Linked DNA regions of Bombyx mori. The protein of the gene in region 2 purifies or fractionates together with the protein of the main gene of each other region. This does not show direct contact. Links are inferred from orthologs where the notes say so. Each region holds a gene or a part of one and is shown on either strand. Other genes may lie near its edges.

Region 1 (3,659 bases), on a different chromosome or scaffold from region 2:
GAGCTCCGTCGTACAGTTGTGGTAACTAGCCTCTAATACTTATTAATGAAAATTATGTTTCATCATCATCCATACATATTATAGTATACTACCTACCTACCTACCTACATATACCCAAAGTAGGTAGTCGACTATATTTAATTGAAATTATAAGTTTGAACATTATTATGGTTCTATTGTCAGACTTCTACTACATACTACTTCTATAATCACAGATTTCGCCAAGACTACACTATAGAAAAATAATATTAAAGACAAACAATATTAATCTCTTTCCAATTTGAACACAAGCTTTAACAATAAACCAAAGAGTATATATGAGTCGTCTATTATCAAAGGTGGCAATCTGTGCATTTGGACAATTTTTTTTTATTGATATGTCAATTCAGATTGATTTGAATATAATCGTCTCCTTCAAAGAATACGGTTCAAAACTTGCATTAAATAAAGGTTAATAGTTACCCTGTTATTTATCTAAGATGTCGTTCCGAAGAGTTTTGTGACTGCCAATGGAATACAAAGCCAATAATTCGTTTTTCTGATTTACCAATCATTGTCCAAAAGTCAGATTGCCGGCTTTGATAATAGACGACTCATATGTGTGTTTGTCAAACACATGGTAGTGTGCGTAATGTATTTTTTATTGCATGCATGCTCGCAACATTCATTAAAGCAATAATTATATTAGACTTGAATCAATCAGAATTTAATTAGGCACAGGTGTTTCAAACTTAATTTTCATATAATTCATTTGTTAATGGTCACTAACCTGTTCTTTAGTAGTATTCGTGATATATAACATATCGTTGATGATTGAGAAGCCGCCATTCGCATTTGAAACTATCACGAACGTCCGATGAAACGAACGCATCGGGTTATTGGGAGTGTTCGTTTCTTTGAACACACCGTTCATTGTAAGGACGATCATGGCCGGCTGTAGACAAAAAAAAAACAATTTACCTAGTCTTAGCTAGCTTAAGGTTGAGACTGAGCTATATTTTTTTTTTATTAGTTGGTATTCTAGGACACTAAAAATTTTATATACATACTTTATATTACTATCCTGTAAATATTAATTTCTGGAGTATTAGGTCATTTTCTGTGTTTCATACACCATTTTTTTGTGCATATTATATGTGTTTAATGTTTGTTTTTCTTAACACTTTTTTTTCAATTTATAAATATCCTTATCTAACATCTATAATACATTGTTTTTATTTAAAGTAATGGAATTTAAAGTTACAATACATGATATATTGAAATTAGGCAGTATTTCAATAAAACTACCTTACAAAATTTATTCAACATAATATAAGGAACTCAAAAACGAATTCTTCGGAGAGTTAGAAATAAGAATATAGAATATAGAATAATGGTACATTTCAAAAGATTGGGTATCACTTCAAAGCAGTACAGTAGCGGACAGTTACTGACACTAGACAGGTCATTCACACATCTGCCTACCAGACTAAATGTAGATAAACATGTATAAATAAAACAGTCAAAACTTACAGTAAAGACTAGTAAGTCGACAGCAAAACCCATTAAATCGTGTGTTGTTTTTGGCAGATCTGATAGAAAGGAGACTACTTGCAGCTTTCCGGTACGTAGGTAACGCCTTCTCGACTCCCTTTCTGTTATTCGGGTTAAATTACGGCTGTTCGATATGTAAGAGTTTAACCTGTAATTAAAAAATATTTTTCTCAAATACTTAAAAGCAGTTAAAAGAATTAGCAGTGTATATTTGTTTGTTGATGGAAAATCGTGCTCGACTCCGTTTTAATGTAGTTACGAGATGTGCCTGTGAAATCGTGACAAATATCGTAACTAATACAGTCTAAAGACATCCTCTGATAGAGTTAGCAGAGGATGTCAAGTTTGACTTCGACAATCGTCCCCAAAAAGTTAGTCTAACTTCACACATTTATTTAGATATTATTTATTGACTCACTAATTACCGATTTAAGTCTTGGGTGTTTTTATATATATACCAGTGGTCCCGCAGTGGTCCAAATTCCACTTTAATTAATTGAAATTATATGTTTGAACATTATTATGGTTCTATTGTCAAAGACTTCTTTAATCACAGATTTCGCTAAAAATACACTATAGACAAATAATATTAAAGATTGACAATAATAACCTATTCTCAATTTCACTACAGACTTTAAGCAATTACAAAAGTTTGATCTTAAACAAAGAATATTATTGTGTGTGTGTGTGTCAAATACATGGTAGTGTGTGCAATGTTTTGGAAAAGTGTGGGAAATTTCATACTCCTTCGTCCGCACAATTTTCCTAAAATTTTTTGCTGCACGTGTTCAAATATAAAAAGATGCGTAGCATCAAGTTCACGACCCACATGGTAGACGGTTACTAAAACCCATATACATAACATTGCAAATTTCAAACAGAATTAAAATCTATCAAATTTAAATAAATATTACACACCTAGTTGTCGTAGAATTCCTGCTGTCATTAGTTAAATAATTTGCAGCCATCGACATTGTAGCATTTTCATGGTACGCCTCTAGAAGTGGTTGCCGAGATTCCGAGTCGTATATCGCATAGTATTGAGTGAGAAACTCCCTGACAAGATCCTGACCCGCCGGGTCTACCAGGAACGATTGTTGCCGAGGGGGAAGTCCCATATCTTCAGCTACGTCGAATCCAATAGCCGGTGGAAGATCCGCGCCATCCTAATTTTTTTTTAATTTTATGTTTATTTACAATGTTGAATCAATAGGCGTGATGAGATTATATAAACTGCAACAAATAGTAAAGCATAAACATAAGTCGGAAAATAAAAAAAAGACTTACCAATCTTGTCAGCTTGGGAAACTTCTTCCGGACATCACTGGAGAGAACAAACATTATGGAAACATGTTTCAAATTTGAACTCTGAAACTCATAATCGTTAAGAAACACACAAAATGTTTTTCATTTATTGAGATTACATGATAGCAGATTTGTTAACAATAATTATTTAGATATTGAAATTTCTATTGTGAGACATCATAACATTAAGTGAAAAACTTGTTCAAAAATATCAAATGTATAATTAGGGAAAAATAATTGCTTAGTTTTTTTACTCTTTGATTTTTATTTAATGAAAATACATGTCACACAGATAAACTCTAAATAGTAGTAAACAGTTTTTGTAGCAAGTATTATTTAAACACTGTTTACATACTTTTACTTTTATAAAGTGTTGTAAACAAATGTGCTTCAATGTTGTGTTTGTGTGCATTATTTAATAAAAACTAAATAGATAATTATTTTTATTTGAATTATTGCTTAAAATTATATAATTCAAATTTAAACCTCAATATTGGAGGTAAAGAGGTAATATATACTATTTAAAAAATATATACATATTAATATAATAATATATTTCTGTCAAAAATGATTCTTTGGAACTATTTTTAGATGAATTATTTAAAAAAACCTTTCCATCTATTTGCGATGCTCAAGTTAGTAATGATGGATATCAGATGTTATTTATGCCTCTAATATTGAGAATTATTTTGACAAAAAGGTTATACGGAGTGATAGTACACAGGATGCAGGGTAACCTCAAATAAAATTAAAATAGTAAAGTAACAATAATGAGCAATAGAATACCCAATTTCCTTAGTGAAGCCCAAGTACTAATAATT
Region 2 (4,159 bases):
CACATAATGGTGTAGTGAATTTCCAAATACTTTTTGAGCATCATCATCATATGCTTCAACTTCAATTTTGCGAGGTAGTCTTAAAACTGGAGGTTTATAAGCGTCTGATGCAAAATATGAAGATTTAATTAGTTCCAATTGACTTCTTTTATTAAAAATTTTTTCATAGATTGTTTCCCTCCAAGTTGTTCCAACAAGTGTATGTGATATTTGATCTAATTTTTGATTCTTATCTTGAATATTTGACAAAAGATAATGACCTGCTTGAGAGCACCTGTATGTTCCTTCAGAAAACCACCGTCTAACTGCATTTGACTGTTTTTCTGGGGCATGTTTAACCCAGTTTACTTTTGGATCAAGTGGTAATGTTTGCCATGCTATTAACATCAATGGTGCAGCATATTTTACAGCATCTCTCCAATTCAACTGGTCTTTCTTTGCCCTCTTCAGTAACAGTGTAGCAGCATGTAAGCTAAATTGTCCTTTATGATGTTGAAGCAAACTTGCATGAAAATCTCCATGGCCAGGACTAGGACCTGTTTTTGCAACTATTTCAATTGACTGATCATAGGCTTGTAGAAACTCTTGTGACTCTACTAAGCTTTTTGATGTACCACTTGGTGTTTCAGTTAAACTTAAGACACACAAACGTTCTCTAACAGTTAAAAGCAATAACTGGTACAGCCATTCATTATGGTTAATTCCACTATTTACCACAAGATTGGCTAAAATTTCATACCAAGCATAATTACTCATGAAAAAATTTTCACCAAACTCAATATTGCAACTGTGTTCAAAAGCTTCTTTTAATTTATTTGTGCTAATATAATGTTTTATTAAACGTGCATGAAGTTGTGCATCTTTTGGTCTTATTGCCAATTCTGTGGTTATTAATTTGACTAGTGCTTCAGGATTTGGATTTTGCAAGGATAGAAGTCTTTCACGGAGTCGAAAAGTAACAGGGTGTCTAGGGAATATTGCTTCTGCTTTTTCACACCAGTATTTTGCACGTCCAGGTTCTATTTCCACATCATAATCAGCTAGAAGTTCACAAACTGAAACAAGTATTTTTATATTTCATTTAAATGGTGTTAAAACATCAATTATGATCTTCCTGACCATTATTTATAATTTAGACAAGTCAATCAATTATAACAGAGGGAATACAGATGATTATACAGATGGAAAAGCTATGCTGACTGCCACTATTTTTTTGGTGGATTAATTAATTTATCTTAGTTTTTTTTTTATTGCATTAAAGTGGCTGGTTATACTAGACCTTCAGCCACTTGTAGTTTATTGTTTTGTATAATATTCAAAACAGATCTGACGTGAAGCAGTGCACGTAAGGTAAACAATGGCAAGGTTTTATTACTTGTAATGGTCAGGTCAATTCACACTGAATGAAAATAATCACAACACACATATTTTATACATCAGGTGATATGAAATAGGCATCATACAATCTGAAACCTATATGTGGACCTATGTATTACTTATGACGACGCTTGTAACTGAAAGTAAGTATTGTACTTTTTGACGAAGCATGTTGCTGATAACTCTATTTCTGTAATCTGACGAAGCGTGTTGCGGATAATAAAATGTACTTTTAGGTTAGGAATATTATTCTTTTTTTTATAATAAATTAGAAAAGTTGATCTGAAACTGTATTTAGTCATGTGTGAGTACTTGCCTAATCATGATCAATCAATCAAGCCTAATAAAGAATGAACAAGCTCATGACCCACTTGGTGTTAAGTGGTTACTAGAGCTTCTAGACATGAGAGGCCAGATCTTAAGACTTGTGGTCTATATCTCATTTGTATAGCAAAACCTAATTTTAGTTGATTTTATAAGTTAGTGTGTTCCTGCATTGTGGAAGTCATTCAAGAATTTTATCTTTTCGGGTATAACAACTTCAAACTATACAATAGCTACAAATGAATACATACCTATTAACAACATACAAAATATTATATTATGTAGTTTATTATATACATGATAATAATAGAGTATTCTTTATTGCAAAACAATATAAAATCAAAAGAAAAACAAAAAATCAAACAATGTATTGTACTTATGCTTATGCAGTCTTATTACTAAATATGACCTCTTCCAAGCTGACAAGAATCATCTAAGGAAATAAATTAATCATAGTACTACCACCAACACACTTACTGATAGAAAAAAAGAATATAACTAAGAATATAATTTTCACATAAATATAAATAAATATATATAAGAATACTGCACATAAAAATGGCTTAATAGAAGATTTTGGTTTTAATATTAACAAACCTAGTAAAGTAGCTATATGATAAATTGTAAATTAAATATTATTTTAGTAAGACTTACTGTCTAGAATAGTGCTTGTCTGGGCTGGGTCAATGTCCAGGGAAGTTTTGTATTGTTCTAAAGCCTTTTCTTTTTGTCCTATCTTCTGCAAAGCTTGTCCGAGAAGTTTATAAGCCGCTGCATTGTTATCTTTTTGAGTAAGATATTGCTCAACATATTTTTGGCAATTCGCAAAATCGCCAACTTCAAAATACAACCGAGCGATGGAATAAGCACGACTTTTAAACTGAAAATAACCAAATATCGATGGTAAAAACTTTGTCAATAAGCGTAATACTTGATTTGAACACCAACTACCAACCTCTCTCGAAGATATTTTGTTCAGCAAATTTTCGACGTGCTTATCAACGTCTTTTTTATTTCTATACATTTTAACGATTTTTCCGTCTAACCGATAGTAGTCACTTATTTACAAAACTAGACCTTTTGAAAATAATATTACAACTTGAAGCGCATGAGGCTGCAAATGCCCGTAATCGAACGCGAAGCTATGGTTGGTTATATTGATTACCTTTATTCTCTTTGAAATGGTTGGCAAAATGAATAATAACGAATAGAAATTGGAATGCCGTCAAAAGTCAATATGTCGTCAGTTATAGAGCAAAAAATTGCTAGATCTAAAAATGAGCTCAAAATGTACCACAAATTTAAAAATGTTTGTTTCATAACTGTTCATTTTCTGGAATACTTTTCTGTGGCATGCATTACTGAACAATTTTATAAAGCAATGCTTAAAAATGTAAAAAAATATGGTTTCTATTTGTTGTCATAAAATTTACTTGGCTTAATAAAAAAATCATAAATTACGCAATCCTTAGCTCATGCACTCAACTTGATCCCATAGACATTATAATCTACACCCATCTTATGGCATGAGACCGTAGTTTTAATTTTGGGTGTGACATGTCCATAGTATTGGCATAAAATAGCTTCATCCAGTTTTTTCACACTCAAGACAAATAATAGAGCATGGGCAGCATAAGCAGCATTTCATGCCAATTGATTAAGTTTCCTTCGTTTTTTATTATTCGTAAACTGTAAATACCTACTTAAAACGGCGATTCCTAAAAATCTTATTACTTGACGCTGGCTAATGCACAAACGTGCCGGATCCAAAAACTAAGAAGAAGAATATGTTGTACCAAAAAAATCTATGGTAGAATGTCTACTTGTATCCAAATAGTAAATAAATTAGGGTACACAGGTACATACCTACCTACTTATCTACATTAATTAACTTTACCTTATCACAACAGGAAAATATCAGAAAAAAGCAGGAATAAAAAATTAAAGATTAACCCAAAGAATACAGTGATACAAGGGGTCTATCGTAATCGTAACCAATTTGGTGATAAATCATTGTTTAATGCTGTAGTCAACGTATCTTAAAGGTATTCATATGCTCCCTTTGATTGAATTGAGAACTTTAACAACTTTCATAAACCACAACCTTATTTTTTTATAGATTTAATTTCTATCATGGGCGACTCAGAATTGGCTTATGGATCTTCGTTAACGTTGGATTCCATGAAAGTGATAGCAGAGAGTGTTGGTATCGCCACTCTTGGCGATGACGCTGCTAAGGAACTCGCTGATGATGTTACATATCGCTTGAAAGTGATTGTTCAAGATGCCATGAAGTTCATGCATCACTCAAAGAGACAAAAACTTTCCATTACAGATATAGATCATGCCCTGAAGATAAAAAACAATGAGGTATTTTAATATCTGCAGTTAAAGCAATATTTAAATATGGCTTTAAGTGTTCCATGGTCTCCTATGATAAATTAACAATATTTTTTTT

The links. The genes of interacting proteins can lie anywhere in the genome.
Region 1: the proteins of E3 SUMO-protein ligase RanBP2 (region 2) and nuclear RNA export factor 1 purify together in Drosophila melanogaster (affinity purification with western blotting; 3 studies listed by BioGRID, with this or other methods). This does not show direct contact. The link is inferred for Bombyx mori from reciprocal best matches to the Drosophila melanogaster genes Nup358 and sbr.

Annotation. Positions count from the first base shown.
Region 1 is NC_085124.1:4,534,106-4,537,764, reverse strand, and holds part of nuclear RNA export factor 1, read right to left. Parts: intron 2,858-3,659; coding exon 2,821-2,857; intron 2,700-2,820; coding exon 2,452-2,699; intron 1,682-2,451; coding exon 1,513-1,681; intron 935-1,512; coding exon 770-934; intron 1-769. UniProt on the Drosophila melanogaster protein: Mediates the export of the majority of mRNAs from the nucleus to the cytoplasm. In ovarian follicle cells, plays a role in transposable element silencing regulation by enabling the nuclear export of flamenco (flam) transcripts and subsequent piRNA biogenesis.
Region 2 is NC_085121.1:11,012,730-11,016,888, reverse strand, and holds the start of E3 SUMO-protein ligase RanBP2, read right to left. Parts: upstream 2,960-4,159; 5' UTR 2,726-2,959; coding exon 2,657-2,725; intron 2,582-2,656; coding exon 2,356-2,581; intron 1,056-2,355; coding exon 1-1,055. Other genes in the region: transcription initiation factor TFIID subunit 6, read left to right, coding at 3,835-4,071. UniProt on the Drosophila melanogaster protein: E3 SUMO-protein ligase. Component of the nuclear pore complex (NPC), a complex required for trafficking across the nuclear envelope.